Linked DNA regions of Ovis aries. The protein of the gene in region 2 purifies or fractionates together with the protein of the main gene of each other region. This does not show direct contact. Links are inferred from orthologs where the notes say so. Each region holds a gene or a part of one and is shown on either strand. Other genes may lie near its edges.

Region 1 (10,468 bases), on a different chromosome or scaffold from region 2:
TGGATGGTGTCTTCATTTTGGTTCAGTGAGACCCTGGTGGATAGGAACACCCCCTCCCAGCCCTCATGTGTCCACAGTGGCGTGTGTCAGGTGTGCCTCAGCACCAGCTATGGGTCTGAGCAGTCAGACTTTAGCCAGTATTCCCAGATATCTGGGCACGTATGAATTCTTCCTGTTAAAAATAGTTACGTTAAGGCCAAAGAAGATTCGACAGATCCTAAATACCCTGTCTTACTAAATTCTTAGATTTTTCTTGTTCTTACCAGTGCTGACTTTCCGAAAAGTTTTTCAGGAAAAAATTTAACTGTATTTTTCTCACTTATTTAAGAGTCCTAGGAGGTGTAGCCTGACTTGGTAAAAGAAATTACTGTATTTTTAATGAAACATTCATCACACTGGTAAAAAATATTGGGAGTGGGGTGATGTATTATGTTTCTTGTAATGTTGCAAATTATGGGGGCTCAGACAGTAAAGAATCTTCCTGCCATGTCGGAGACCTGGGCTCGACCCTTGGGTTGAGAAGATCCCCTGGAGGAAGGCATGGCAACCCACTCCAGTATTCTGGCCTAGAGAATCCCCATGGACAGAGGAGCCTGGCAGGTTACAATCCATGGGATCATAAAGAATCAGGCACAACTAATTAACTAAGCACAGCATTTTCTAGAGCAAGTAAAATTTAGCTTTTAATCATTTTTGTGGGCCTCAGAGTTGCTGAACTGTTTCAGGAAATGTATTTTTTCTGAGCAGGAGTAAGGGGTAAATAGCTTCTAAATAAATGTAAATAGCTTCTGTGTTTCTGTACAAAGATATATTTATCACTGTAACATTCTGGTAGAGTTTTGATACAGTAGTTCTTATCAGGCTTTTTAAAAAGTTAACTTTTCAGGTAGCTGCTCAGGGATTAAATGATTTGGAAAAGCCTATCCCTGCTCCATGTTACTACAAAGAGATACATGGCTCTTTATACCTAGCTGCAGGGCACAGATAAGTACACTTTAAACTTTCTAAGAAAGTTAAATGTTTCACAGTGATGTTGCAATCTCATCTTGAGCTACTCTTTTCAATCCCTAAAATCTCTGATGGTGTGCCCCCTTTTTATTTTTCCAACTTGTGAATTCCATATCTGGGTGAATCACTAGTTCCCTTGAGCACCTTTGTATGTTAATAAATAGATGCACTAAGCAGATTGCATGTCTCAGATGTTTGGCTTCTGCTTCTAATAATCATGGAGGGCAGCACAGATCCCATTTACTAGGGGAAGAACTGCCCAACACCCAGTTCTTGGTAGAAACCTTTCCTTAATGTTGCATCTCTGCTAGGAATAAAGAGATGCCAGAAAGGAGACAAGCTTGTGCTCTGTGGAAAGAACTGATTTTATACTGTGATGCCTAAATCCATTTAATTCAGCTCTCAAGGAAACCTGTGGCCAGGCATTTAAGATACCATTCCTTGTGACTATAAAGAAACACTGCACCTGTGGGGAAGCAAGAGTTTTATTATGTTTTATTTGATCAGAATATTATAACTTTCAGGAAAAAGCTCAGTTCAGATTTATGTTGTGTTTTGAGACTCTTTTCTTACTCACACAGGCATAGGTCTGTAGAAGCATCAACATTCGCACATGACTCAAACCCATTAAAAGTGAATCTAGTACATATTGTGTGTGGCTTCTTTCTTGGGTCTCCTTTCCCTTATTCACAGAATGCTGTTTAGATTATATTAATATTAGTCATATCTTTGCCACTGATTTGGAAAGATTTATTTTCTTGGTACCTTATAGTATATTATGGTTCCTGGTAAAGTAGGAACATTGGTTCTTAACCTAAATATAATGTAAGCCGTGGCTTCTTGCCCCCCCAAAATAATGTTCCATCAGAACCTAGGTGTAAGGTTGGAGGGCTGCAAAAGTTAACCAGGCATTTTGCCTTCAGGAGCTCCAGGGGGTAAGGGGCAGCTGCCAGGTAAACGAGCAATGCCAGGAGGTTTCTGCTGAGAAAAGAATGAAGTACAGGGACCCGGTCACAGAGGCATGAGTTCTGGTTTTTCAGGGAAGAGGAGGAAGAGCCAGGAAGGCCTTTCATGGGAGATGACCTCAGAGGCTGGTTTTGGGAGTCAAAGACAGCAAGAGTGCATTCCACGAAGTCACAGAAAGCCTGGTCATGCTTGAGAACAGTAGATGGAAGTTTGGAGAGAAGCCAATTAAACAGCAGTCCTGGGACACCAGACTCAGAGCCACTCAGCTAAAGAAGTTTCATTTCAGTTGCTCAGTCATGTTTGACTCTTTGCGACCCCATGGACGCACGGCAGGCTTCCCTGTCCATCGCCAACTCCCAAAGCTTACTCAAACTCATGTCCATCAAGTCAGTGATGCCATCCAACCATCTCATCCTCTGTCATCTCATCCCCTTCTCCTCCTGCCTTCAGTCTTTCCCAGCGTCAGGGTCTTTTCCAATGAAAAGAACTCTGCATCAAGTGGCCAGAGTATTGGAGTTTCAGCTTCAGCATCAGTCCTTCCAATGAATATTCAGGACTGATTTCCTTTAGGATGGACTGGTTTGATCTTGCAGTCCAAAGGACTCTCAAGAGTCTTCTCCAACACCACAGTTTAAAAGCATCAATTCTTCGGCACTCACCTTTCTTTATAGTCCAACTCTCACATCCATACATGACTACTGGAAAAACCATAGCTTTGACTAGATGGACCTTTGTAGGCAAAGCAATGTCTCTGTTTTTTAACATGCTATCTAGATTGGTCATAGTTTTTCTTCCAAGAAGCAAACGTCTTTTAATTTCATGGCTGCAGTCACCATCTGCAGTGATTTTGGAGCCCAAGAAGATAAAGTCTCACTGTTTCCATTGTTTCCCCATCTATTTGCCATGAAGTGATGGGACCAGATGCCATGATCTTTGTTTTCTGAATGTTGAGTTTTAAGGCAAATTTTTCACTCTCCTTTCCACTTTCATCAAGAGGCTCTTTAGTTCTTCACCTTCTGCCATAAGGGTGGTGTCATCTGCATATCTGAGGTTATTGATATTTCTCCTGGCAATCTTGATTCCAGCTTGTGCTTCATCCAGCCCGCATTTCGCACGATGTACTCTGCATAGAAGTTAAATAAGCAGGGTGACAATATACAGCCTTGACTTACTCCTTTCCCAATTTGGAACAAGTCTGTTGTTCCATGTCCAGGTCTAACTGTTGCTTCTTGACCTGCATACAGATTTCTCAGAGACAGGTAAGGTGGTCTGGTATTCCCATCTCTCAGAATTTTCCACAGTTTGTTGTGATCCACATAGTCAAAGGCTTTGGTGTAGTCAATAAAGCAAAAGTAGATGTTTTTCTGGAACTCTCTTGCTTTTTCCATGATCCAGCGGATGTTGGCAATTTGATCTCTGGTTCCTCTGCCTTTTCTAAATCCAGCTTGAACATCTGGAAGTTCATAGTTCACATACTGTTGAAGCCTGGCTTGGAGAATTTTGAGCATTCCTTTGCTAGCGTGTGAGGTGAGTGCAGTTGTGCAGTAGTTTGAACATTCTTTGGGACTGGAATGAAAACAGCTTTTCCAGTCCGGTGGCCACTGCTGAGTTTTCCAAATTTGCTAGCATATTGAGTGCAGCACTTTCATAGCATCATCTTTCAGGATTTGAAATTCCATCCCCTCCACTAGCTTTGTTCGTAGTGATGCTTCCTAAGGCCCACTTGATTTCCCATTTCAGGATTCCTAAACTTCTTTAGTTCCTGAAGATTCCTGTTGCTGCAGAACTAAAGTTTAGGAATCAGATTCCAAGCCTCCCTGGGAGGCTACACCGGAGGCCACCAGCAGAGGGCAGGGTCCTGCCCACTGTGCCTTCTGGTCTGCAAGGCGGCGGCGCGGAAGCACTTCCCGGCTGTGGGGCGGGACTTCCGGCGGCGGTCCCAGATCTAGGGGGCGCAGCGGCAAGGAGTTGTCCTTCTAAGCGAGAGTTGTATTTCGAATCTGCACGTGTTCGCCACCGCCTCCGCTGCCAAAATGTTCCAGCTGCTGCGCTGCGTGCCCCGCGTCCTGGGTTCTGCCGTCGCTGGTCTCCGCGCCGCCGCACCCTCCCTGCCGCTTCTGCAGCCCGCGTCCCGGCCATGCGCCCGGCCCTTCGGGCTGCTGAGCGTGCGCGCGGGGTCGGTTCAGCTGCCCGGCCTCCTGAAGCCTCGGGGGCCCTGCGCTTGCGGCTGCGGCTGTAGCGGACTGCACACCGAAGGTGAGACTCATGCACGTGGGCCGGGGGCGTGAGGGGCGTGGGCCTAGGTGGGGCGGGGTGTTAGGGGCTGGGAGGTGTAGACCACCTGAATGGACAGTCCGGAGCCGCTCCTGAGGTCCGGAACATTCTCCCAGTGATGGTCGACCTGCTAGTTAAACCCACGCGTAGTAACATTTCCCGTCCTCCCCCACCCCTGTTTGACTGCGGGGATAGATACTGTAAAGTCCTGGAGGCCGGCTTTACCTCAGTCTCTCGAAAATGGAACTTTGCGAAAGCCCAAGGTCGCGGTTAGAAGTAGCGTGATGTTTCTTGGCAAGTGAAAGGGTAGTGGCGATTTTTTTTTTTTTTTTTTTTGCTTTATTTTGAAACGTCGTGAGAAGTTCATTATTCGGGATCACTTTCCTAGAATCCATGCTCAGCTTCCCACTGATAGCTTACATTTTTACAGATGAAGGAATTGAGGTTTAATGGATATGAGTTGGGCTAAGTCCACAGAGCCACCATTAATAGAAGTATTAGGAAAAAACAGGCTAAGTCCTGGTCTTTGCTTGTAGTAACGGGGTCATTTTCCATTTTAGACTAATTGGCTCTTTCTGTAACTTATTTCCATTGTAGGAGACAAAGCTTTCGTTGACTTCCTCAGCGATGAGATCAAGGAGGAAAAGAAGATACAGAAATATAAGTCTCTCCCCAAAATGTCAGGAGGTTGGGAATTGGAAGTGAATGGGACGGAAGCCAAATTAGTGCGGAAAGTTGCTGGAGAAAAGTAAGTACCAGGGGCCTATGGAGCCCAGGGGACCACATCCATAAACCTGCAGGACCTGCTGTGAGGTATCCACAACAACTTTTAGTTAAGACAGGTGCTTAACTGACTCCTGGTTTCCCAGAGATGGTATGATTCGTTTGGATAACTTCTTAGGCTCCTTTTTGCTTATTCACTGCACAGTAATGTGCTGTGGTGGTTAACAAGGAGACAGTAAGCTAGTAGCGGGGTTCCCCAGTGGCTTGGCGTCCAGAACCCACCTGCCAAAGGAGGAGGTGTGAGTCTGAAATGGCAACCCACTCCAGTATTCTTGACTGGAAAATCCAATGGACAGAGGAGCCTGGCAGGGAGTCCATGGGGTTGCAGAGTCAGACACGACTGAGTGCCTGAACATCACCCCAGTAGCACTGAAGCCAAGCCACTGGGAGTCTTCTGGACCAGTAGAGGCAGCAGTCACTGAGCCCTTCCTGGTGAGTGAGGCTGTGCCTTGCCCACAACTAGGCATGCAAATTCAGAGATTCCGGCACTGCCCACAGAATCGGATTTACTCTGCTGGGTCTACTACCCTCAGGCTCTGGCTGAGGAAAATAAAGCCCCTGTTCTGTTTACAGTTGAGAAAGCAAGATAATTAACAGGGTGGGGTTGCAGTATAGTTTTTCATTAGAAAAGAGGGATGCTTTTGGCCTGCTTAAGCTGTTTTAAATCCACGGTCCACTTTGAAGTTTTGCATGCGCTGTGAAGCAGCAGGCTGGTGCTTTTGCCTAGTATTGTAGTGCTTTCCCCGTCATAGATCAATTGTGTGGTCTGTAACGTGACCCAAACCACTCTCCTAGGCGAAGTTATAGGCAGTTTGGGACCATTATAATGTGCTGCTGAACATAGCTGCATTTCTCTGTCCAGGGGTCAGTTTGGTCCACACTGTCACAGCTTAGACAGATTTTGTGCCTGTACATCAAACTTCTGTCTGTCAAGGTGCCAGTTACCATGGCTTCAGAGGGCAGCGTTGTCTGCAACCTAGCAGTGCTCGTTCCAAGTGTCACTCAATTTTCAGTTCAAATTTTGGAATATGATATGTCAGGTGAAGATTCTTGCAAGTTAAAATTGTCATTAGGTGGTGTTTGTGGCCTGCCTTGTCATTTATTAAACTTCCTACATCTGCTCTGAAGAATAAAACTGTCCAGCAGCATATTCTTTTTTTTTTTTTGCCACACTGCTTGTGGGAATCTTAGTTCCCTGACCGGGGATCAAACCCAGGCCATGGCAGTGAACACACCAAGTCCTAACCCCTGGCCCACCAGAGAACTCCTCTATGTGGTGTCCTTTGTGAGGCCTCCCCTTCCTGGGGCCAGGGCTACTCTCCATCCTCAGCTGATGCCACAACCCTCCGGTGCTCCTTCTCTTCCTCTCAGGCAGATTTTCTTCTAATGGAGGAAGATTTTTAAAGGAGGCTCCTGGGACTTAGTGGTGGTCCAGTGGTTAAACCTCTCCTCTCCCAGTGCAGGGGACCTGGGTTCAATCCCCGATCAGGGAACTAAAATACCACACATAGCAACAAAGGTCACATGCACCTCGCAACCAAGACCCAGCCCAGCCAAGTACATTTTATTTTCTTAAAGGAGGCTTTTGGAACTTTGTGGTGGTCAAAGTGTCTGCTCCCAGCGCAGAGGACCTGGGTTCAATCCCTGGTCAGGGAACTAAGATCTCGCATGTAGCAACTGAGCGATCCCATACATAACAATGGTCATGCGTACCTCGCAACCAAGACCCTGTGCAGCCAAGTACATTTATTGTTTTAGAGGAGGCTTCTAGCCCATGCCCACAGCTTCTCAGCTGCTCACCACCACTGGGAGGTGCCCTGGAAAGACAAGAGTGGCGGTGTCAGCTGACTGTGGCTATAAGGTTGACAGAGAGCCCCGGATAGTGGCCTGATGGCAGAAGCACCAACACACAACTGTATTTGGCTGAGGAAATAGTGCCTAATTGACTTCCAGCAGCCAACACATAGTAGGCCCACTTCAGACCTGCTGAATCCAACTGTGGATGGGATGCAGGCAAATCAGATGTAAAGCCGGCTGAGATACATTGTTTCAACAGCATTTTTAACTGTAGCAAGCCGTAGTACTCAGCTACTCAGTTAAAAAGACATCTTCATTGTGCTCTTTGGTTGCCTTTCTAGGATCACTGTCACTTTCAACATTAACAATAGCATCCCACCTGCTTTCGGTGGTGAGGAGGAAGAACCCTCCCAAGGGCAGAAGGCTGAGGAGCAGGAGGTAAGTTTCTAACACTGTAACCAGCCTGTACCCACCTATTTCTGACAGGCTTAGGGAAGGAGCATTGGTTTTTGTTTTGTTTAAATTCTAACGCCAGGAGAGAGGGCAAAGGCAGCCATCCTTGGGCCTTTACTTGCAGAGCACCAGAACTGTGTGGCCACTTTTCTTTCCCAGGGGCCAAGTGTTAATGAATTGTTTTCTGTGGGCTTAAGCGTTATAGTTTGGCCGGTGTTCACCTAACAGGAAGGAATTTAAACTGTCTTAACCCTTCTCATGATCAGGAGATAAATCATTTGGAGTGTTCCACATGAGGAATACATGTCCCGAGTTGGTAATAAACACCAGCCAGGGGCATCAGAGACTTTGGCAAGGCCTCTCCTTAAGTTGCTGCCCTTCTTGGTTGGACCTGGATGGTGTTTAGTCCTCGAACATTTTAGGAAGCTTTGTGCCTGGCCTAGAAACCAGCCAGTATGAGGGCCACAGGTCCCCAGACTTTCTGGCTGGGTGGGCATGGTATTGTCTCATCACCCAGCTCAGCTCCCTGGAGTGCTGGCCCAGCCCCCCTGACAAAGACCACCCCCAACCCATCCATGAGGTTGGCTGGCTCGCTCTCAGAGCGCCTCTGGGCCTCTAGTCAGAGGCACCAGCCTTTGGTCCTGGGCTGTAATGAAGATCCCAAAACATCTGGAAAGGGGTTTTGGAGTTTTGAGCCAGCTTTGTAGTGTATAGATGTAGAAACTGACCCAGGAAAATTAACTGGCACACTAGATGTGGCTAGAGCTGAGTTCCTATTTCTGAACCTTGTATGTTCTTTAAACAAGCAGGGTGCTAATAGAAGTGAAAGGCTGTACTAAATTATGATACTCTGCCTCCGAAACAGTCCATAACGCTAGAAAGGAATGACAGGATGTACTCGGCCCAGTCTCTGAACAAGTGGGTTACGTGGCTGTAATACTGTGTTAAAGATTCTAGGCTTCTTATTTGGGAACCTCTTAGCGCAGTGTCGGAGAAGGCGATGGCACCCCACTCCAGTACTCTTGCCTGGAAAATCCCATGGATGGAGGAGCCTGGTAGGCTGCAGTCCATGGGGTCCCTAAGAGTCAGGCTTGACTGAGTGACTTCACTTTCACTTTTCACTTTCATGCAATGGAGAAGGAAATGGCAACTCACTCCAGTGTTATTGCCTGGAGAATCCCAGGGACGGGGGAGCAAGACTTGTAAGTGGCTAAGTAATATCGTAATAGCAGTGGCCGTCAGACCCCTGAATTGAGACCTTTAGTCCAGACCCCTGCCACCAGACCCTTGCCAACATTTACTGACTTGTTCTTATTTCCCTAGCCTGAATTGACATCCACTCCCAATTTTGTGGTTGAAGTTACAAAGGATGGCAGCAGCAAGGCCCTTGTGCTGGACTGCCACTATCCAGAAGATGAGGTGTGTAGGGTGGAGAGCTGGCGGCCTGGGGGGCGGTGGTGGGGGGCCTCCAGGGGGCTTTCCTGGTTCCATCTAGCTGATATTAACATTTTCTGGCTTAGAGCAGCAAAGCTGGGAAGATTAGTGGGAGGTAAGGGAACAAGGTTAAAATCTGAGTTTCAAGCTGTAAATAATCCCTTTTCTTCGCCTGAGTCTGGCTTGTCCTGGAAAACCTTTCTGTTTCGCCAAATACTGTCTCTCTTCAGATTGGACAAGAGGATGACCAGAGTGACATTTTCTCCATCAAGGAAGTGAGTTTTCAGGCCACCGGCGAGTCTGACTGGAAGGACACAAATTACACACTCAACACAGATTCCCTGGATTGGGTGAGTGCTAGATAAGGTGGGGAGGGGCCTACCTAATCCAAGGAGAGACAAAGAAGCATCCTAGTAAGTGTCTCAGGTGTCTGTCTGTTTTTTTAACTAGTAAATGATCCTTCTAGGGCTTATACGACCACCTAATGGATTTCCTTGCGGACCGAGGGGTGGACAACACTTTTGCTGATGAATTGGTGGAGCTCAGCACAGCCCTGGAGCACCAGGAGTACATTTCTTTCCTCGAAGACCTCAAAGGTTTTGTCAAAAGCCAGTAGAGCAGGCAGCAAGGTGCTGAACACCTTAATTTTATGGCAGGCTTTGGCCAGTGAACAAAACCTAACTCTGAAGCCAGACCCACATGCTTTGAAAAAAATTTTTTTTTTTTAATCCCAATATCATGGAAAATAATTCACTTTTAACTTATTTCTGTTGTCTCTTATTTACCATTCATTTATCCTCTACAAACCCTTTATTTCTGGATTTTTGTATAACATAATGATGGACAATAAAAATCTCCAAGGTGATTTGTCTTTTCTAATTCTATACCCTCCCTTTCAACCTGTATTACAAAACATGAAACAGAGGAAAGTCTGAAATGTTTTAATAAGTTATAAATAAAAGGTTTGTATTTACAAGGCCACTTCTCAAGATGGGACTTTCTTCCAACACAGTAGATCATGCATCAAGACTGGGACCGACCCTAGAGGATCACAGCCCAAGTATCACAAGCCTGGATTTAAACAGAAAAGAGTTAGAGTTATTCCAGTGACAAAGACAGTCTCAGCATATGGTTAAAAGTCATCGATAGCAATGACACTTAAGCTGCTCCTTCCACGACCTGGGTGGCCTCTGTGCTTCCCCCCTTCAGGAGATGGTTGGCCTTTTAACTGAAATAACATCACTTTTCTATGCAACTAAGTTCCTCTTTTCTACCAGGGTGGGAATAAAACCATCCGCTGACCCACTGTCAACTACTGGCTCCCGTGGTAGGCTTACCAGACAGCTCATGAGAAGACATGACTTCTCCTCTGTCCCCTCAGTGACTGAAAATTCTGGCGTGTGGGGACAATGTGCACTGTGCTCATTGACACTGTCTTCTAAACAGGCACGAAGCTTTTGCTCTGTCATCTCCGGAGACTAAAAAATAGACAAGTTAAACTATAACCTAATCTTACTAGCCTCATAGTCAACAGCTTAAAAAACTGCAGCTCCCCTCACACCAATCCACAACTGGCTCCCTGTGATGGCTTGATTCCTTGGACCCTTAGAAACGCTATAACTGTGCTAAGAGGATCTCTTTAAATGTCCATCTAGCTGCCTCTCCAAATGAACCAGTGCTCTTCCACTCCTGCCGTAAAACACTAACTGCTGCTCATCGTGCCAGGAACACTCAGACTCTGGAACCTCCCTGT
Region 2 (10,287 bases):
ACCCAATTTTCCTGGTCAGTCTAAGGCCCGGGTTGGGACCGATAGAGCCCATCTGGTGAAGGTGTGACCTGGGCATCAGACCACAGGAACTGCTGACATGCTCGGTATGAAAATACTTGTTAAATATTAACAACAGGAACTTACCAGGATTTAGAAAATGTTCCGAATTTGTATAAACTCTCCACTGCACAGGCACTTACACTCCGGCCGTGCCTCCTCCGCGTGGGCCGCGCCTGCGACTCTGGGCGGGTGCCCCCCGCGGAAAAAAGGCATCAGAGGGAAGCGCCAGCATCAGAGGGACACTTTATTCCTCGGGACATTACAGGCCAACTCCCGGTGGAGCAGGTCAGTTCTGCTTCTGTGGAAAGTGTGCACCTTCGAAGTTGGGGGCAGTTTCTCCCTCAGACACGGTCACCACGGCCCCCGCGGCGCAGGCGCGAGAAGTAAGTTCCTCTGGGCCTGAGGCCCATGGGCCACACCTGGAGGCCGTTCTGCCCTGGGCACCCGCCCACGCCCGGCCCCGCATGCATGCGCAGGGGTCAGGGCCAGGGCCGTCCACGCGTCCACGATGAGAGCGCGGCGCCTCACACGGACTCCTCAGTGGACAGCAGCAGTGGGTTGATGTACTCGAACCCTTCAAACTCCGACTGGTCGATCCTCTTGATTACGTCCCTGTGGCCCGGGACAGAGCAGGCTCGGTGGGCGTGTTCAAGACCCGGCCCTGTCTCGCACCGCAGCTAAGGACGCCCCACCCCTGCATGGGATTCCTCCTCCCAGCAGTTCAGGACGCCCTGCCTCCACCTGGGACTCTTCCTCCCCGCCCCTGCAGCTTGACTGACCCTGCAGCTCAACCCCACCCCACCGTAGTGCAGGCCTTACTCATCGTCAGGAGTCAGCTGCACCGGCTCGCTGGTGAACTGCGTATCAAAGTTGTCCAGGCCATAGTCGTCCGTGATCTGCGGCTGGAAGGGCGGGAGGGCCTGCTTCTTCCCCAGCTGCAGGAAGATACAGTCAGAGCCACTTGCGCCGACTCAGCGCTTTGCAAACTCAAACCACAGAATCAAACAGAAGAAATGGTGCTTAAGTATATACGCCTCGTTTGATGGCCAATTGTTGCTCTCTAAAGTGTAGGAGAAATTTCCGCCGAAGTCAGAAAAACTCTACTTGAGCTGAAAAGTGCTGGCAGCACAGGCCATGAGAGACATACCCCACGCCATCGAGGGCCTGCAACCCTGCTCCTTAAACCAATGGAGGCTGGCTTAGGGAGCTTTAATCTTGGAACCCCAGTGGTAAGAGAGCTGGGGCTTGGTAGGGATACCTGTGTTCCACTGGGACCCCTCCTCCCGAGACGCCTTAAGTGGCCATTTCTAGTATTCCTAGACTAGTATTCCTGATTAGTATTCCTAATCCCAAAGGGATGCACTTGTCATCTTGGGGGTTGAGACATGGTGGTGTCTGGAGAGGGTGGAGTCACATGGAGGAGGTGGAGCAACTCAAGAGTGGCTCCAATCACTGAGGGGGGGGCATGGGCCCCCAGGTTCACACACTCTTTACCTCCTCTCCCCTCCCTCCACCAGGTGTCTGCTGCACACGGGTGCTGGGCCAGGCCTGCTCCTCAGACCTCAGAGAGAGCCACACTGAGGCATGGGGGTGCCTGCCTGGAGGGACCGTCCCCGTCACAAGGGAATCTGGAGCCAGAGGATAGCCAGCCCTCTAGTTGAACCACTGTGCTCTCACAGCCGGGACAGCTTGATTCAGGGGGTGGATGACCTCGGCCTTTCAGGACTGGCTGCTGCCTTCCCTTGGAGGGTCCTGAGTGAGCCAGCCTGGAAACTCCCACCTGGGTGAGGCCTCCATGTGACCGGGTTGGAGACATGGTCCAAGGTCCCGTGTAGGGAGACAGCTCCAGCCAAGTCAGAAATAAGCCTCCAGTCCACCTCAGCTCATACCCTGTCTTTGCACTGTGGGGTCAGGGCCCTTAGGAACACCACTTATGGCAACAAAAGCAAACTGGGCCCGGAAAGTTGAAACAGGTCCCATAACTTTGGGGGATTTGGGAAGCTGAACACACAGGTTCTGCTAACGAAGTTGGTGCAAGAAGTGAGAGTGTCACAGAGATGAATCCCCCAGTCACGCCCGGTAGTGTCAAGGCTGCAGCCAGCACACCCAGGCCACCTGGAGAGGCACGCTTATCTCTGTCACCCAGGGGATGCAGGAGGGGGGTGCGGAACAGAGGGGATGGGCTGATCCCACTGGCAGAAGGGGGCTACCAGTGTGTGTATGTGCATGTGTGCAGGTGCCCACATGCCCATGTGCACGCTGCGATCCCAGGGCCCCGGGAGCTGGTGGGCATGGCCACACCCTGGACACTCTTCTGGGGACATAAGGCCTTCCCTTCTCCCTCAGCCTTCTGTCAGGCAAGTTTCCATATTCTTGTTAGCATGAAATATATTCAGATAAAAAGGGGAAAAAGAAACATTTCTCTTGTACTATTTTCCCTACTTTAGGTCTCAGGCTGCTTTAAAAAGATTTAAATAGCAAGTCAGAACAGACCATGAGGAAAATGCAGCCAGGTGCTGGCCCGGGGTCTTCCAAGGCCACCCCCCATCCCTAACCTAAGAGCCTCATGGCTGCTCAGCACCTGCCCCTACCCCCACCCACTCCCCGGGAATGTCACACACAGTGTCACCTCCTCTGCTCTCAGTGACAAGCAGTGAACTGGAACGGTGCTGCCCTAGAGCGACGTCCCAGAGTCCCGCCACTTAGCCCTGAGGTGTGACGGGAAAGAGGAGGCCCAAAGGGGCTGGGAGTGAGCGTGCTGAGGTAGTCTGAAGGAGGTGGTGGGTGGAGGTTGGGAGGGGCAGAGCTGTGTCATTGCCCTGAGGCAGGAGTGGGCCTGGCAGCGAGGGACTCCTAAAGGCCCAGTGGAGGAGGCGGCTGCTGGCAGGGCCCACGCAGGAAACGGGGGACTGTCCAGGATGTGGGCAGCTCAGACCCAGGTAGCAGCATTGGGGTGGGAGAAGGCCCAGACCCAGAAGGTTGAGTCCCCAGGACTGGGTGGGTCAAGGGCCACTGTGGGGGGAAGGACCACAGCACACCTGGGTGTCTAGTTGGGACTAGCTAGATGGTTAAGTGAAGTATCTGTGAGCTGACTCAGGGCGTGGACATGGAGCTCAATCAATGGGTGTATGGCTGTGCTCATCCACACAAACACATCCCCACAGGACACCCAGCACAGCATGAATTGGACGCCCCAGCAAGGCTGCTCTCAGGACCTTCAGGAAGCACTGCCCCCAGGGCCTCATCACAGCCCGCCTCCTTGTTTTCAATCAGTGTTTCCCAATGCATCCCCATTTCCACCCATCCTGCCCCCTGGAGGTCCCTCCCCAACCCGCGGAGGTGGGTATCCGGTTCCAATCACTTTACCAGGTCCCAGTCTATACTGCGGAAGAAGGCATGAGACTTGATATCGGAAAATCCAGTCTGCGGCCGGCAGCCAAGCCTCTCCTTGGGGTCCTGGTGTGTCAGAGTTCAAATGAGGACAAGTCAGCACAGAGCAGGGCAGCCCTACTCAGTAGCGGGTCTTAAACAGCACCAACAAACCACCCATGGCCGGCCCCCCACCCAGGTGAAACTGCTTCCTCCCAGCGGGTTAAGCTCCTTCAGGAAATGCCTCTTCGGCATAATTTCTCCTCATTAGCTTTTGTCAAGGTGAATAAGCAGCCACAGGACTAAGGAAGGAAGCAGAGTCACACCCACGTCCAGCACTAAACTAGCAGACCAGGTGGTAAAGCCTCAACCTCAGTAGCTGAGGAAGGGCTGCGGCCATGGCCACTGGGGTGCCACGGGGGCCACAAGCGTACCTTGTTTAAAAATCCTTTCAACACGTGGGAGGCCTTGACGGACAGGAACCGGGGGATCCGGATGGGCTTCTCCAGGATGACTGCAGGACCGGAGGAGAGAGTTGTTCCTTCTCCTGGCCCTCCTCCAGCTCCCCCTCTTCGACCCTAGCCTGTCAGCTCTTCCCAGCAGCCTGCAGGGCACTGGAAACCTTTTCTGGGCAGGAGGGTCATGGCAGTCACGGTGGCCTGGGCCTCTTCCTGCACCCCAGCAAGGTCTCCAGGCCTCAGAGGCCCTGGTGCCCACGATCAGGCATGCTATGATCAGGGATGAACCAATGGCAGCTCAGCTGGTCCTGTGTCCCCATGTCCACAGGCGCAAGACAACACTGTGGGACACCTTCCCCACATCCACAGGCACAAGAGGGCACCATGGGACAGCCTCCCCACGTCCACAGGCACAGGAGGTCACTGTGGGACAGCCTCCCCACGTCCACAGGCGCAGGAGGGCACCGTGGGACAGCCTCCCCACGTCCACAGGCGCAGGAGGGCACCGTGGGACAGCCTCCCCACGTCCACAGGCGCAGGAGGGCACCGTGGGACAGCCTCCCCACGTCCACAGGCGCAGGAGGGCACCGTGGGACAGCCTCCCCACGTCCACAGGCGCAGGAGGGCACCGTGGGACAGCCTCCCCACGTCCACAGGCGCAGGAGGGCACCGTGGGACAGCCTCCCCACGTCCACAGGCGCAGGAGGGCACCGTGGGACAGCCTCCCCATGTCCACAGGCGCAAGAGAGCACTGTGGGGACAGCCTGGGCCAGCATCCTGGGGGCAGTCAGTTCTGTTCCAGGGGCCCAGATGGCAAGAAGCTGAGGCTGAGCACAGCCCCCGTCGGGACTCAGGTGCATACTGGAGGTGGGGAGAAGGGGGCCTGGGCCAAATCAGGACAGATTCTTTCCTGTGGATGTGAAAGAGCAGTATCCCCCTGCCCACTATACTTTGCTCCCTGAGAGCCAGTAGTGGACAAGTGGCCCCACCTAGTCTGTGGCAGCCACGGCAACCAATCAGGAGACTCTTTCACCCCCACTTCTAAAAGGGGAAAACCCGCAGGGCATGGAGGGAACGGGACATATGGCCCACGCACCTTGGAAAAGGTAGTCTTCAGTGTTCATGTCAGGGTTGTCAGTGATGATGTCAAAGGGGGAGCGGCCTGCCATCATCTCGAACATCAGCACGCCCAGCGCCCACCAGTCCACGCTGAACCCTGAGGGATAGCCAGGCTGGTCAGGCCAGAACTCTCCATTTGTGCTATCCAGTCACAGGGCAACAGCTGTGACCTGGACCTGGACCACAGCTGAGGCTGGGTGTCCCCAGCATCTCCCAGGTGGCCTGGCCTCCACTCTGTCCATTGTCCTGGCAGTTGCAAAGCTGTCTTCATGTCAAGGAAGCCCAGGGACAGCCAGCCACCCCCGATGTCCAAAGGTGTGCAGCTCTGTCACACACAGGACCCCCATCCTGGGAAGGCTATAGACTCTGCTTTGGACTACGGCTGCTGTCCATCCTCGTTTGGTTACTAAGTGACTTCAATCGTACTGGCCTCCCGGGTGCCCAGGGATCGGAGGGGGAGAGAACCTGCTCGCCCTGCTACCCCCCAATTTCAATGGCAAAGAAAATATGTGGAAATATTTGAAAGAGTATTTGTGATGGGAAAACAGCAGAACCCCAAAACGCAGAGGGTGTGCATCTCATTTTCATTTCACATCCAGAAAGTGTGTGGACGCACTCCAGTGTCACAGGGGCTGTGGGTGGTTCTGGTGGGTTTGGGGAACCCACACTTATGGGCGGCACCAGTGGCGTGGGACCTCTGCTTGGGGCCTGTCTTTGCATTGTGTTCTCCTTCCCAAGCCTTTCAGGCTCCTTGACCAGAGGGATCCTGTCCAGTGACCTCCCCAGGGCACACTCAGGTGAACACATGGGACAATAGCTGGGACTGAGGCCAGGTGATGACCTGGGGCTGGACAAAGTAAGGGTGTGTGTTTTAGTGCAATTTAGTCAGGAAACCCTCTTCTTGGCAGCTGGGTCAGCTCCCCAGAGACCCTGGTGAGGACCCTGGCAGGGTTAGCCCCACTAGGACTGCCTCCTTCCCTCTCTGCTCCATCAGAGTCTCCGGCAGAGGCAGCTCCCAGGGCTCAGGGTGTCCTCGTCCACTCCCGCCTCAGATCCAAGTCCCTGGGCAAAGGAGGGGCCCAGGGCTCGGGGTGTCTGGGTGTCATGGCCCACTCCAGACTCAGAGCCGAGTGCCTGTCCCACCCATGCTTACCATACTCTTCTCCCCGCAGGATTTCGGGGGCAATGTAGTTCGGGGTTCCACAGAAAGTGCTTGTTGTATCACCAGGGCCCAGGCCTTCCTGTGAGGACAAAGCCAATTACCAGGAGGGAGGGCATGCCCAGATACGCCCCCACTAGTGGGAGGACTGTGGTCACGTGGAGGTGCCAGAGACCAGGCATGGGTGAGACGGAGTGGGTGCCAGGCTGGCCACGACCCTGGGAGGCGGGCGGGCGGGAGCAGTGGGCGGGATGCTCACCTTGCACATGCCGTAGTCCGTCAGCTTGATGTGGCCGTCGGCGTCAAGGAGGACATTGTCCAGCTTCAGGTCCCGGTAGATAATCCCTCTCTCGTGTAGGAAGTTGAGTGCGATACAAATCTCAGCAGCATAGAACCTGGGGAAGGGGCAACACCTGTCATCAGCAGAGAGAACCCAACCAGGAACCTGGATAGGAGGACACAAGACGTTGGAATTCTCCACTGATGAACTCATGGGCCAATAAGACTGGGCAAGACAGGTGGGCCCACAGGACCGGGAAAGACAGGCAGCATCCCCATGGTCAGGGAGACACAACCCAAACCTACCATGAGATACCACCTCACACCTACCAAGACAGCCACTATACAACGGGCCCCCCATCCCCTCGAACAGAAAATGACAAGTGCTGTCAAGGATGTGGAGAAACTGCAACCCTCATGCACTGCTGGTTGGGATGAAAATGGTGCAGCTGCTGTGGAAAATAGCTTGGAAGGTCCTCAAAACATTAAAAATAGAATTATCATGTGACCCAGCAATTCCACGTCTGTGAATAACTCGAAATAATTGAAAACAGGGGCTCAAATGGGTATTTGTACCCCCTTGTTCACAGCAGCTAAATCATGGAAGCAACCCAAGTGTTCATCGAAAGATAAGGATAAAATGCGGTCCATTCCTGTGATAGAATAGGATCCAGCCTTGAAAAGGGAGGAGGTGCCGACACTGACACCTGCTCCAACGTGGATGGACCTTAGGCCATGACACAGAGTGAAACAAACCAGATGCAGGAGGATGCATCCTATGGGCTTCCACTTCTCTGAGGTCCCTGGAGGCGTCAGAGTCACAGAGACAAAGTAGGGGTGTGTGGATTGTGGGAGGGGATGTGGAACGAGTGTTTTACGGGGACAGAGTTTCGGTACAGGAAGAGGAAAAAGTCCTGGTGATGAAAGTACTGGAGACCAAGGTCCTGGAGATGGTGGTCGGCATGGCTGCATAGCACCGTGAATGTGCTCGATGCCGCTGACCGTGCACTTAAAAATGGTTGAGGTGGAAATTTTATGTTATGCAAATTTTTCACAATTAAAAAAGGAGAACATGAGCGTGTGGGGTTCTTGATTTATTACTTGCCTCTCCCCAAAAAGGACCTATGGTGACTCACAGTGCCACATGGAATTATTTTTAAGTGAGGAAATGAGGAAAAGGGAAAAAAGTATGGGAAAACAGGAAAGAGATGTGTATGGGGTGGAAATAAACGCCCCACCCACCTGTGAGGTCGAGGCTGTGGGGGGTGGGTGTAGTGGGGCGGGGGCAACGTGGTCACTGTCCCTGAGAATCATTTAGTAACAGAGATCATTCTGCGGAGGCCAGATGGCATCACTGTGTACACTGTGCGCCGAGGGTCAGGACCAAGGCCGGGTCACTCCCAGGACCCTCCAGGCTGTGGCCTGCCCTCCCCTGCCCCAGCTGCACCCACCTGGCGTGCTCCTCTGGCAGCTTCCTCTGCCTCTGCATGTGGAACATGAGGTCGCCCCCGTTGACATACTCGATGACCAGGAACAACCTGCAGGACACACAGGCTGGGGTCACCCTTGTCCTGAGAGGCCCAGGCAGGCAGCAACCAGGCCATCCAACTCTGGGGTCAGTGGCAGGAGCCCCTCAGCTCTGATCCTGATGAAATAAAACTTGAGAGAGAAACTCTCGTCCACCACTCAAATCATTCAACAGTTATTTACTCTCCCAATGATGCCTTTAGAGGGCTTCCCTGGTGACTCATGGTAAAGAATCCACCTGCAATGCGGGAGACCTGGGTTCGATCCCTGGGTTGGGAAGATCCCCTGGAGAAGGGAACTGTTACCCACTCTAGTATTCTGACCTGCAGAATTCCATGGACAGAAGAGCCTTGGCAAGCTACAGTCCATGGGGCTGCAAAGAGTCAGACACGACTGAGTGACTTTCACTTTTCACTTTCAATGATGCCTGGCCTGCCTTTGGGGTAAAAATGTAAAAATAAGGCAGGGCCCGTTGGCCGGGGGCTCACTGGGGCTGGGAGGGTGCTATGTGGCTGGTTGCTGTGGGAGGCCTCCCCAGGGAGCAGAGGCCTGGATGGTGCATACGGAGAGGTGGAGGAAGGCAGAGCTGAGGGACCACCCTGCAAGTACAGGGGCCCAACTCAGCTGGAGAAGCCAGAAGGCCGGGTGCACCAGCTGGGGGATGCCAGTGACCCTCTGGCCACTGTCTGGGTGGACCTGGGGCAGGGAGATGGGCAGGCTGAAGGAGAGGAGGTGCTCAGCCTCCTGGTGTGGCTGGCCTGGAGGGCCTGAGGCAGAGCCCACAAAATGGCCAGTGGTGTAGGCAGTCGGGAGGGGAAAGGCTCGGTGGAACCACGGGAGGGTCCCGTGCACCCCTCCTGTGGGACCCACCCCAAGCTGCCTGCAGGTCCAGAGGAAGAGGGCAGAACATGCTGACTTGGCCACTGGGAATCTGCAAAGCTACCGGCCTCCCAGAGGAGGGTGGGGTTGCTGGCTGGAGGGGCCTGTGATTGACAGGCCTCTAGAAGGGTGGGGGTGCTGGTGGGAGAGGCCTGTGATTGACAGGCCCATCCTCTGGAGGCAGGCAGGGTTCTTCAGGTCCCCAAACAATTTACCTTGTGGTTTCTTTCCTTGATAGGATCCTCCTCACATTTAATAAGGTTCTATTTTCAAAACTAAATTCACACATGATTTCCCTGAAATGCCCTGCTGAGGCCAGCTTATGGATTTTTAGGTCAACAGTTCCTCTGGGTATGGAGGGGGGTGGCTTTCAGAGAGTTGAGAACACAGAGGGAGCCCCTCTGAGCACTGGCAGCCCGTCTGCATCACTGGTGCGATGATGGTGATGCCCCACACGTGGAGCATGTGAACAAGCTACAGACCGCCCACCAAGCCTCTGATCACATATTTACACGAGAAACAGTTCCTAAACGCATACAGCAGACATGGAGACTGAGGGCTGAGTACTGGGGGAGCAGCCAGAGCTTTCCATGTGGTCCTGCAGGGCAGTACAGCTCTCATACTTGGAGAGGGCCCAGTGACCCTGACCCTGACACTGGGCGGTCTGCACTGTAGCTGTTTTACTCACACATTTGCCGGTGGTTGCTTTCACGCTATAACAGAGGTGAGAGACGGAAAAGGCTTGCCGATGTGGCACAAACAGGACAAGGATGGCTGCACAGCCCCCACAGACCTTCGCACGCTGTTCCAACATGTGTGCACATTGAACCCTGGCAGCCACCCTGGGGGAAGGTGCTCAAGCCCTGGGGAGAGGCCCAAGCCCTCGCCACTAAAAAACAAGAGCATTTATTCAGAACACTGTGACTTCAAACAACAGAACAAAATTTGCCACAGTGATCAGGGACAGCGCTGCCCCAGGAGATGTATCCACCCTATGTAGATATTCCCCAGGGAACGGATGGTGGCCGCCCACATGGACAGAAAGAAGTGCCATCTTGGCACTGGAGACAGACACCAACATGAGGCCTCGGGGAGCAGAAGAGATGTTTAAAAACCGAGAAAAGTAGCAGCAATGGTGGCTTGCTTTCTGGATCTGGAGGAAAGCCTATAACAGGGCTTTCAACAGAAGCCACGTGACTGGAGTGAACACGGAGGCACACTTGGCTAATCTGTGACTGCTAACTGGGGCCCCGGGTCTCAGGTAAGTCGCTGATCAAGGAATTCATTTAATCTGCAATACTGATCAGCTATAACAACAGAGCAGAGTGGTTATTTTTATTTTTTTTGGCCATGCCATGTGGCACATGGGTTCCCAGTTCCCTGATATCTTTTTCCTTCTACAGATAGACATTACCACTACTTCTGACATTTTAAAAA
Region 3 (10,468 bases), on a different chromosome or scaffold from region 2:
CTGAATGCATGGGGAAGGCTTGAGTTATGAAAATTCATTATTGCTTTCTGCATGCTTGCAGTTCTTCAAATTAAAATCAAAGGGCCTGCCTCTGCGGGCCTACCTGCGTACTCTGTGCTCCCTCACCTCTTTCACTTAAGACTTCCCACACAGCCGGTCCTGGCTGCCAGGACCCTGGAAAGAACGCAGGTGCCTCAGCTCCAGGGGACTCTGAGACGCAGACCTGTTGTGTTTGCGCTTGTGTTTTCGTGGTGGTTTTTTCCTTCCTCTTGTGGAAAAACCTGACATCACCTGTGAACTTCCTAGATTTTGGAGGGTATGTTTAAGGCTGGCAAGATTCATAATCTTCATACTTTGATCTCCAGCCGAGCAGAGGGTGGGATGGATGTGGGCTGTTTGAGGCAGGCCATTGAGGAAGCCACAAGGCCAAGTGTAGTGGGCAGGGCTCTGCAATGCTGTTTGAACCCCACGCCCAGTTACCTTTAACTTGTCTACACCTGACCACACCTGACCCTGCCCCCATCAAAAACATGACAAGGACTCTGGGCAGTTTGTTTATTGTGGAGGAGGACTAGGGAGTGCAGAACAAGGGACAGACCCCCTCCTCTCCCTGGGAATCTGTGCAAGTGGGTGTCATGGCTCAGGGATGTGAAGCGGAGCTGAGGAAGCCAGAGACTGGGAAAAGAGATGAGAGCAGGCAGCTGACCAGGCAGGAGCATGGCGGGTAGACAGTGAAGGAGGGGCGCCACAGTGCTCAGTCAGGAAACCTGCACGAAGTCCAGCTCTCACCCTTTCTGATGCAAGTTCAGTCTGGCACAGACTGAACTAGCTAGGTATAGCAGAGTGGAAACAGCCAGACTGAGAGAGATCAGGAAGATGGGGGGTGGGGTGGGGGTGATGGGACATTCAGTTAACAGGACAGTGTCGAGAAAACCATTGTGCCTTTACCCAGGTCAGCCTAGGCAGAATCCGCATTTGAGATTATATTCTAGGTGGTCGAAGGGCTCTGGGTACACTGCCAACTGCTTTTTTCGGGGAGGAGACGAGACCAAAACCATACGGACACCGGAAGGACAAAGGAAAGGCAAAAGAAAGGAAGACTGAGAACTTACAGACCCAAGAGTGGGAGTGTTCTGAGAAGACAATGCATGATGCTGGGGTGCCAGGAGTGAGACGCTAGACCAGACAGAAATCTATCTGCGCAGGGAAAGATGTCAGGGACCAGCCCAGGGAAGAGTCAAAAGTCCAGAACTGTTGAGGAACAGGTATATGCTGCGCAGGTCAGCAATGGACAAACTCAGATTCACGGGTGGGCCAGCCAGGGGGTCCAGGCCTTCAGAAGGCTCCTCCCCAGCAGGGAAGCTGGGCAGGGGCAGTGACAGGTTCAGGGTTTGGTAGAACCACAGGATCTGGGACTGAGACAGGGGCAGAGCCAGGGACCTGTCAGGGGGCTCAGGCAAGGCACTCTGGAGCTGGGGACTGTACCAGGAGTTGCAGTAGTCATACTGGCAGCACTGGGCCGAGTACCAGTACTCTGAGATGTAGGTGGGGAGGTTTTCTTGGCAGCGGTAGGAATTGTGTTGTCCACAGCCTCGGATTAAGAAGCGAGCTTTGTTCTCTAGAGAAGAAGGGACAACTAATAACCCTTGTTGCCTCCCACAGTCACCAGAACTGGTACCCCTTTCACAGACCTGCCCATCCCTCACCTAGACCCAATTTCCTTTCCAGACTCCTGCAGAAGAGGCCAGAAGAAATTAGCTTAATCGGCTCCCCAGAACTCCAGACCCCTCCCCTACCAGAAACCTCCATCTCCTTAGACCTCAGGCCCCAAGCAGCCCTCATTTACAAGAGGAGACAATGCCATAGGCTGTCCTGCCAGTGGCCCCTTCCCTGCCTGACTCAACTCACCATGGTTGATGCTGATCACCATGCACGGGGATGAGCTGCTGATAGTGCACTTCTCTGAGCCTGAAATGCATCCTACAGCAGGATTTTCTAAGAGGCAGAGGTGGCAGGTCCGGACTTCAGAAACAGGAGCTGGGGAAGCGGAAGACACGGATGGTGGTGTTGGCCCACTCCAAGTTCCCTGCCTTGCAACATCCCGCTCATCCACCGCCACCCTCTCCCTGTACTCAGCCACCCCTCCTGCCCTGCCCCTGCTCCACTTACCCTTTCCCACCGTGAAGCCCACCATGACCAGTGCACCTATAAGCATGTGGGCCTTCATCATGGACTTCTGGGGAGAGGGGCATTCCCCGAGGGGTGCCTAGAAACCCCGTGACCACACTCCTCGAGCCTGAACTGCAAGGTGGTTTTGACAGGTAGTCTGGGCAGGAGCTGCTGTAGGTACAAAGCTATACTCCTCCCTGGGGCAGGAAGCAATTAGCTTGGCAGGAGAACATGTCCTCACCCACCTGGTCTGGTTCCTGAATGTGGGAGCGGCAGCCCAGACAGGTGCAATATCTGGGCCCCAATCCAGCAGTCTACTTTTGTCCTGAGTGTCCCTCAAAGATCTGTTCCTGCCCCTCCAGGGTCCATGGATTAGTTTCATTCTCTGGTACCATCTGCCATCCTCCCTACACAACAGGGCCAGTCCCTATTGTTCTGGGAGAAACTTTAACCAGGAACCCAGTGACCTTCATCCTTCTGAGATGAGCATGTCTCAGCTTCCCCAGGAGGGGGCACATAGACACAAAACAGCAAATTCTGGACCTTGAACCTCTTCTCCCCACCCCTTACAGTTCAGTTTATTTTGGGACCACTTTCTTTATAAAACTCAAAGTGATGTTGATTACATCCCCTAAACAGCCAACTGCAGGCAACACAAAAAGAGCAAATATTTCTCCAGTCTTTGAAATCCGATTTCTGTCTTTGCCTCGTGATCTCCGTACATCCCTACACCCAGTCCTAAAAACATCACCCAAATCTACTGGGTACAAATCTGTGCTGGTTTTCCACTTGAAGAGAGTGGGCTGAGCCAGGAGGGCTCCTGGGGCCCAGCATACCATTACCCGTGCTTCCCCAACCCCAAACACCAGCCAATCAGCCCATGGCCTTTTCTTCCACTTTATTTCATATTCCCACCACAATAATGACTCCTTTAATTTAAACTAAAAACCATAGAGGGTTCCTGAAATTGTGGCAGCAAAGGAATGAAAGTGTCAAAGACCGAGGGACAGGTGGGGTGGGGAATCAGCGAATCGTCTTCACTGGGCTCTTGAAGTTGCTGGCGGCTTGGAGCTGCAGCTGGTAAGCCATTGGATGGATCTTGAAACCGTAAAGCCTGGGTTGGGGCAGAGGTGAGAGAGGAAGCACAGTGAGCCCCATCCTGGCCTGCCAGTGGCCTGCATTCCCCCCTACCCCAGTTTCTTCATGGGCCTGCTCAGTACTTCAAGGCAGCGGTTCCCCAACTTCTCCCTTTAAGAATATTTGGAAATGTATTTTAAATATCTATTAAAACTCAAATTCAAAGCTACAAATATGTGTCTGTACATATATACATGAGTATATACATGGCAGTACTTGTTTTAATATAAAAGCTGAACTTTCTTTTTCTACACCAGAGCAAAAATGATACTGCAGGAAGATCATACACTTCAACCGTGGCTCTGAGAATTTCCTAGCGAAAGTTGAGCACACAAAATGGCAGCAAGGCTAGCTACTGCCTCATCCTCCCTTCTTTCTGGGGGATCCAAGGCACTTCTTTCGACCCTTGGTGACTCTGTCCCTGCTCCCCACCTGGGCACAAACTGGTTGGCGGGCCTCTTGGGCCGGTACTCGGGGTGCACCATGAAGAGCATGTGAGGGAAACCGGTGCCGAAGTAGGCGCCATCCGTGTGGTGGTGCCTCGATGACTTGGGTGTGTACACGTCCATGCACTTGGGGCAGTAGAGCTTCACCATGGCCTCACCTGGGATGTCTGAAAGGCCTGGGAGACAGCCAGACTCAGCAGGCCAGGTTACCCAAGCCTGCCCAACCTCCCTCCTGGACTCAGGCCCCAACCTGCTGAGCCCCAACTCCATCCCAGCCTGCCATGGCCCTCCTTTCCCTTTCCCAACACTCACCGATGGGAAGCATTGGCTGGTTCTCACAGTACACACGGGGACAGTATCCAAAGTCTCCCTGCTGGTACTTTTCCAACTGATGTGAATGAAATTGAAGGAGTTGGTGGGTAGGTATGAAGAAAAGAGGCAACCCCCTCCTCAGCCCAATCCACATCACTGTGTCCCCAACTCCTTCTGCCTCTTAATGTCCAGAGGCCCCTTCTCTGGCTCAGATGGGCCTTCAGACTCCCCTGCTTCCTTTCATCCAGTCAGGCAGTCTGAAGATCATCAGACATTCACTGCTTATTCCCTGAGGAAGAGGCAGTCTACAACTTTCTGCTCTAGGTCACATCTCCCTCCCCCAAAACACTCCCTTCACCTCAACCCTCAATCAGGTCTTAACCCCTAGGCCCAGATTCTGGGGTTCTTTCCCCTCTTCTCAGCTAGATTCCGTGACAAGGCTGAAACGAGTGACTTCTTGCTGATGGAAACTCTGCTTCCCTGTTGCCTCTGAAGGAACCGAGTAGGAGTAGAGAGGCCTCACCATCTGGGCGATGCCACGGTTGGTGAGGATATAGCGGGCGTGGATCAATCCATAGAGCATTTCGGCTGCTTGCTCAATCAGGTCACTCTGGTTGGGGTTGTCTTCCAGCTCCTCATCTGAAACATGGCACCAGCCAAATGCAACCACTTGTCTTACAACTTTTTAAGGTGCCCTGCCTACTCCCAGGGGCTGCTGGCTCTTCAGCCCAGCACCCAACTTGGAGCCTCACCCCACCCACAGCCTGGGCCTCTGCCCCTTCCACCAACCCAAGGGTTTCTTTCCATCCCTCTCAGCCTCTGCTTCCTTCTCTTTTTTAATAAATAAATGCAAAGATGTCAACACAGAAGATAGAACTCTAACCTGGAAGGGGCAAGGAAGAAGATAACACCCATGGAGAAACTAGCATTTTCGATAAGTGCTAAGTTATAGGATCAGAGTATGAGAACAAGTGTAGAAGTCACAAAATTAGGCAAGAGTGAGGTATGGAATCAAAATGAAGTAAAGGATTTGGGGTTAAAAGGGTTAGAGAACCAAAAGGAAATTTAGAAATTCATGAAGCAGATAAACAAGGTGTGAATAGGAAAAAAACAGCACACACACAAAACAACCCTGAGGGTGTCTCACCAGGCTCCAGGTCCAAGATCATGTCTAAAGCTTGTCGATAGTGAGGCACCTGTTCATTGAGTCCAGTGAGATTGAATTTGTCCTGGATATAGTCTTCATCCACCTGTCAGGACGTGAAGTCAAAAGGAAACCCAAAGCAGAATCCTCAGCTTTGACCTGGGCAGGGTGCTCTAACTCGTGCCTTATCTTCAACACAACTGCTTCATTCCCTTTGTTCCACACTCCCAACTCAGCAGAAGTACTTGAACCTCTCTCCCTAGTTCGTGTATACTGCCCACCCAGAAGAGGTCTGGCTTTTTTCTCCTAAACATAAGCAATCCCCTCCTTACAGAGGCAGTCCTTTCAAGATCCCTGTCCTGATTCCTGTTCCTAGCTCTAGGAATCAGTTTTGGCCTCTCCTGAGGGGCAGCTGGCTCTCTGAGGAAGGTGGGGGCTGAACAGCTTGGATTCTGAAGTCAGTTACACTCCCTTATGTTAACACACAGCCATGCTATAAAACATTTTAACGTGAAGTGTTTTAATTCTCCTAATAGCTACCAGAAATACATACTATCAGTACTTCCCTGGTAAAAAAAAAAAAAAAAAAAAAAAACAACACAGGTTGACAAGTCCAACATTAGGCTGTTGGAGGGTGGCAGGGTTGACTTGGGGTCTCAGTCTTGACCCTTCACCACAAGTTAGAGAGCGCTACTAAGGAGACTCCTCCTTGACAAGAGTTTTTACTAAAGTATGTAAGAGAAGTGTGTGGAAGCTTTATGTGCAGGAGATTATGTGGCCAGATTACATGTGGAGGTGGATGGTAGGGTTGAGGAGAACTCACCTCACAGAAGAATTCATTGCCACGGAGCCCACAGAACCAAGAAATCCAGGACACCTCCTCTGAGCTGCTCATCTTCACGTCGGCTAGAGACAGAAGAGTATAAGCCTAAGCTCTCCCTCCCAACCTCTGGTATCCTCACTCCTCCCACACTTTGCCCTCAAACCATGGAAGAATTTGGGGCTACCCTTTTCTTAAAGAACCCGAGACTGGAGCACGTCTCTCTAGCTCCTCTTATTTACATTCCAGCCCCTTTTCACTGAGATTACATAGAGAAATTCTTCGGGGTCCACCAGCTGTGAGAAACCGACAGGTCTTGACCCCACTAGTCCTACCTCCATCCCTGACGCTCCTGAAAGCCAGGCCCCTCTCTCCTCCGTGTCAACTCCGGTAGGGCCGTGGCTCAAGCTCCCTACCCCCGCAAGTCTCTGGCCCCATTCTCAAGGGTTCCGAAGTTTATCCTTTCCAAGCAAGAGCTGGGCCCTCCTTTTCTCATGGCCTATAGGTGGTGGTCAGGTCCGTTTCATAGAAGTCCCGACATCCCGCCTCCACCCTTCGGGCCACCTCTCCTACCCTCGGTGCCGGACCGGGTCATTTCCTTTCCCACCCCCACATCAAGACGCGGAGACCCCATGTGCCGCGCCCAGGGACAGGGGACATGGCGCGGCGACGACCACCACACTCACCGACTGGACGGGGACTGGGACCGGGGGACGGGGAGGGGAAGGGGAGTTTCTGCTTCCAAAGACCGCGACGACGGCTACAACGCAGGCCGCGGACCCGACCGCGGCAGGCGAAGTGGGGTGGGGGGAGTGGAAACTGGGGAGGGTGGGGAAGAGGGCAACGCGCAAGTGCTTAGAGTTAGGAGCCGCGGTGCATGCCGGGAAATGGAGTCCTTGGGAAGAAGAAACTGACGAAACTAGGGAAAAGCGAACTACAAATCCCAGGATGACCCGCGCACGACCCTGGTGTCACGAGGCCCCGGGGGAGGGGTACGCTGGGGGCGGGGCGCAGCAGGGCACTGCGAGCCGCCACCGGAAGCGGAAACTCAGTACCGCGTTCTGGGCCAGGTAGCCTGGGAAATATAGTCGTGTGATTCCGGGGACTGCAGGGCCATGGAGGGGAGGGGGTGGGCCGGGAGAGGAACTAGGCTGGCTGGTTGCTTCTTGCTTCTCCCATCAAACAGCGAGCCTCAGGCCTCGGCGAGACTTTGCTGCCCGGGGCATTGACCTCATCCCCAGCCAGCCAGCCCTCCTGGCCCTTATTGCCTTGCTCCTTGGAGTCAGCCCGCCAAGGAGACCCGCGACGGGGCCCTTGTTTCATCCGGGGTTCGCGCAGCGGAGGCGGGAGGTGAGGCCGGGTTCCATGCTGAGGGTCCTGGGTAGGGTGTACTGGGATGAGCTGAGCGGTGTGAGAACCAGGACGGCCCCGTGGGCTAACCTGAGGTGGTGCCAGCCATTCTGCTGCTTGTCCCCTTGCACTTCTCCATTTCCTCTTAGGGCTTGAACGGGGCTGCTGTGGGCGCTAAATGCGACCTTCGAACCCTGGTCAGAGTAATGGTGAGGGGCTGCGTGACGTTATTTCATTTCAGGGTTTCTGGGCATTCTCCGCCTCAGAGCCTTTTTTAACCCTGAGAGTGATTTCCCAGGTCCAGAAAATGAGCTCGGAGCGGGGGCCACGTTGAGGGAGGAGGCGAAGGGCATTGTGGGGGCGTTATGTAAAAACAGAACCCCAACCGACGGATCTTTCTCAGTCCTCGCGCTGCCCCGGCACGTGGTGCGTTGTGCTTCTGCTATGGAAACATTCCAGGGCGGGAAAAACCCGGCGCTAGCGCGCGCCTGCACCCTCAGGTGTTTTGTTTTGTTTTGTTTTGTTTCCCCGGCCACGCATGCGTCTTTGTGCCCTGTGATTATTTGTCGACTCCTTTGCTTAGAGTAGCGCCATTTTGCAGTACGGAAGCTATAAAGCGACACAGACTGGAACCTCTTCCTGAAAGCTGCTTCCTGCTTCCGGAGACGTGTCGCGTTTGTTTTTGTTTGGGAAGAACTTACCCTGAAATAGGAAGATTTAAAGAGCCAATTTGATTGTTTTTCTTAATGGTATGTTTTACGCTGTGATAAAGTTGTCTCAGAGAGGCTGGTATTGTTGGTGCGGATGGAGGTAGGGGCGGAGCGCACGGTCTGGGCAACTGTCTTACGGAGACTTCTTTCTTACCTTTATTGAGGGGCATTGTCTGTTACTGACCCTACAGGGTCCCAGGTTGTGGGGTCACTTTTGGGTTGGGAGGGGATTTTTGACGCTAAGGATACTTTTTGTTTATCTCATTAGGTGTCTGGAACTGGCTCTGGTCGCTGCAGGACCACCAGGGGCTTGGCTTCCTAGTCTCATTTTCCTAGATTTCCCAAAAGCCATGTCTGGGTCTTCCCTCATTAACTTTACCCCAGCCACTGATTCCAGTGATCTGTGGAAAGATGGGCAGCTGCAATCACAGCCTGAAGAGCTGGAGCCCATCCTGGAGGGGGCTGCAGCCCGGGCTTTTTACGAAGCCTTAATTGAAGATGAGAGCAGCACCCCTGAAACCCAGAGAGCTCAGCCTGGGCCTGCCAGGAAGAGGAAGAAAAGAAGAATGACGAGGGAGACTGCAGCAGGAGCAGCAGGAGGACATGGACAAAGGAGATCCCTTGACACAAAGGACAAGACGACCCAGCAGATACTGAGGGCAGCCCAGGAGGGGGACCTGGCAAAACTAAAAAGGCTGTTGGATCCCCGTGAGGCAGGGGGAGCTGGAGGGAATATCAATGCTCGGGATGCTTTCTGGTGGACCCCTCTGATGTGTGCCGCCCGAGCAGGCCAGGGGGCAGCTGTGCGCTATCTCCTGGGCCGTGGGGCTGCCTGGGTAGGGGTCTGTGAGCTGGGGGGCAGAGATGCTGCTCAGTTGGCTGAAGAAGCAGGTTTCCCTGAGGTGGCCCGCATGGTCAGAGAGAGCCCTGGAGAGACAAGGAGTCCAGAGAACCGGTGAGGGAAGCCTTATCTTTTAATATTGTTTAAACTTTTAAATCTATTTTTGTTTTATTGAAGCATAATTCAAGTATATAAATTACATATGTACAATATAGCAATTCAGGATTTTTTAAAGTGATATTCTGTTTATAGTCATTGTAAAATATCTGCTAAATTTCTGTGTTGTACACACTCTCTGGGTTTAAATCCTGATTGTACTTCTTGGGCAAGCAACCTAGCGTCCATGTGGCTCAGTTTTCCTATCTAAGAAATTAGACTATACTTCTTATAGGGTTGTTAGGGTTAATTAAATGGGTTAATATACATAAAATACTAGAACAGTGCTTGTATTTAATAGCATAGTAAGCACTGTACAAATGTTAACTATAGTAATTATTATTTCCCACCCAAGAACGTTGTGAGGCCTTAACCATTCCTTCAGGTCCACTGTTGCTAACTGGGAAGGAAAGACAATTTGTTTCTTGGCAGAGATACTGGAAGGACCTTGTCCCACCCTGCCACCCACCTCTGAGGCCTAAACCCTTGTGTTACCCTTAACCTTTCTCTTTTTTTCTCTCCAGGTCCCGATCCCCCTCCCCCCAGTACTGTGAGACTTGTGATGCCCACTTTCAAGACTCTAACCACTGTACATCCACTGCTCACCTGCTGTCGCTGTCCCGGGATCTCCGGCCCCCCATCCTACCACTTGGGGTCTCTACCTCCAGCCCAGGCTTCAAGCTGCTGCTGAGGGGGGGCTGGGAGCCTGGAATGGGGCTAGGACCCCGGGGTGAGGGCCGTGCCAACCCTATCCCCACTGTCCTCAAGAGGGACCAGGAGGGGTTAGGCTACAGACCAGCACCTCAGCCCCGAGTTACACATTTCCCAGCTCGGGATATACGGGCAGTGGCTGGGAGGGAGAGAGCCCCTAGGGTGACCACACTGAACCGCAGGGAGGAGAAAAGGCAGGAAGAGAAGGACAAGGCCTGGGAGCGGGATCTGCGGACATACATGAACCTCGAGTTCTGACTTGGGCAAGTTCTGACCTTGGTGTGTTGCTGAAGTCTGAACTTGGGCCCCGAACTTAGACACTTGGGCTTCTACTTCCTGATGTCTGCCCAGGTTCCACACCTTCTGGTTTTGATTAGTGGACTCTGCCTTCAGTAGAAAGAAGCCAAAAGTTGAGAAATAAAATCAAGCTTTTCTCCGTCTTGGTGTTTTATTCACTTCTGGAAGCTGTTGCAGGGAAGCCAAATGAGACGGGACCACATGAAATTCTACCAGAACCAGAAGAGGCAGCTCCTCTACGTGGCCTGATAGGGTTGCCTCTGCCAGTCTGGTTCACTTCTAGTCCCCAGCCACTGCCCTTAGTGCCCCATCTATTTTCAACCCCTGAACCAGGAATTACCCATCTCTATGCAAGTCTATGCAGAGCTTCCCTGG

Evidence for each region. Proteins that work in one complex are often made in the same cells at the same time.
Region 1: the proteins of PRKCZ (region 2) and C1QBP purify together in Homo sapiens (affinity purification with mass spectrometry; 5 studies listed by BioGRID and IntAct, with this or other methods). This does not show direct contact. The link is inferred for Ovis aries from reciprocal best matches to the Homo sapiens genes PRKCZ and C1QBP.
Region 3: the proteins of PRKCZ (region 2) and CSNK2B purify together in Homo sapiens (affinity purification with western blotting; 3 studies listed by BioGRID and IntAct, with this or other methods). This does not show direct contact. The link is inferred for Ovis aries from reciprocal best matches to the Homo sapiens genes PRKCZ and CSNK2B.

Annotation. Positions count from the first base shown.
Region 1 is NC_056064.1:25,995,489-26,005,956, forward strand, and holds C1QBP (complement component 1 Q subcomponent-binding protein, mitochondrial), read left to right. Parts: upstream 1-3,906; 5' UTR 3,907-4,007; coding exon 4,008-4,230; intron 4,231-4,845; coding exon 4,846-4,996; intron 4,997-7,169; coding exon 7,170-7,266; intron 7,267-8,604; coding exon 8,605-8,994; coding exon of another isoform or gene 8,995-9,065; 3' UTR 9,066-9,181; coding exon of another isoform or gene 9,182-9,331; 3' UTR 9,332-9,580; downstream 9,581-10,468. Other genes in the region: RPAIN (RPA-interacting protein), read right to left, coding at 9,963-10,193.
Region 2 is NC_056065.1:49,910,182-49,920,468, forward strand, and holds the end of PRKCZ (protein kinase C zeta type), read right to left. Parts: intron 7,983-10,287; coding exon 7,896-7,982; intron 6,561-7,895; coding exon 6,425-6,560; intron 6,248-6,424; coding exon 6,160-6,247; intron 5,104-6,159; coding exon 4,984-5,103; intron 3,944-4,983; coding exon 3,864-3,943; intron 3,517-3,863; coding exon 3,427-3,516; intron 996-3,426; coding exon 880-995; intron 673-879; coding exon 585-672; 3' UTR 292-584; downstream 1-291. UniProt on the Homo sapiens protein: Calcium- and diacylglycerol-independent serine/threonine-protein kinase that functions in phosphatidylinositol 3-kinase (PI3K) pathway and mitogen-activated protein (MAP) kinase cascade, and is involved in NF-kappa-B activation, mitogenic signaling, cell proliferation, cell polarity, inflammatory response and maintenance of long-term potentiation (LTP).
Region 3 is NC_056073.1:26,709,203-26,719,670, forward strand, and holds CSNK2B (casein kinase II subunit beta), read right to left. Parts: upstream 6,840-10,468; 5' UTR 6,715-6,839; intron 6,115-6,714; 5' UTR 6,104-6,114; coding exon 6,032-6,103; exon of another isoform or gene 5,315-6,031; coding exon 5,212-5,314; exon of another isoform or gene 4,704-5,211; coding exon 4,588-4,703; exon of another isoform or gene 4,141-4,587; coding exon 4,065-4,140; exon of another isoform or gene 3,929-4,064; coding exon 3,739-3,928; exon of another isoform or gene 3,284-3,738; coding exon 3,193-3,283; 3' UTR 3,053-3,192; downstream 1-3,052. Other genes in the region: LY6G5B (lymphocyte antigen 6 complex locus protein G5b), read right to left, coding at 1,215-1,618, 1,909-2,037, 2,170-2,230; GPANK1 (G patch domain and ankyrin repeat-containing protein 1), read left to right, coding at 8,439-9,043, 9,610-10,054. UniProt on the Homo sapiens protein: Regulatory subunit of casein kinase II/CK2.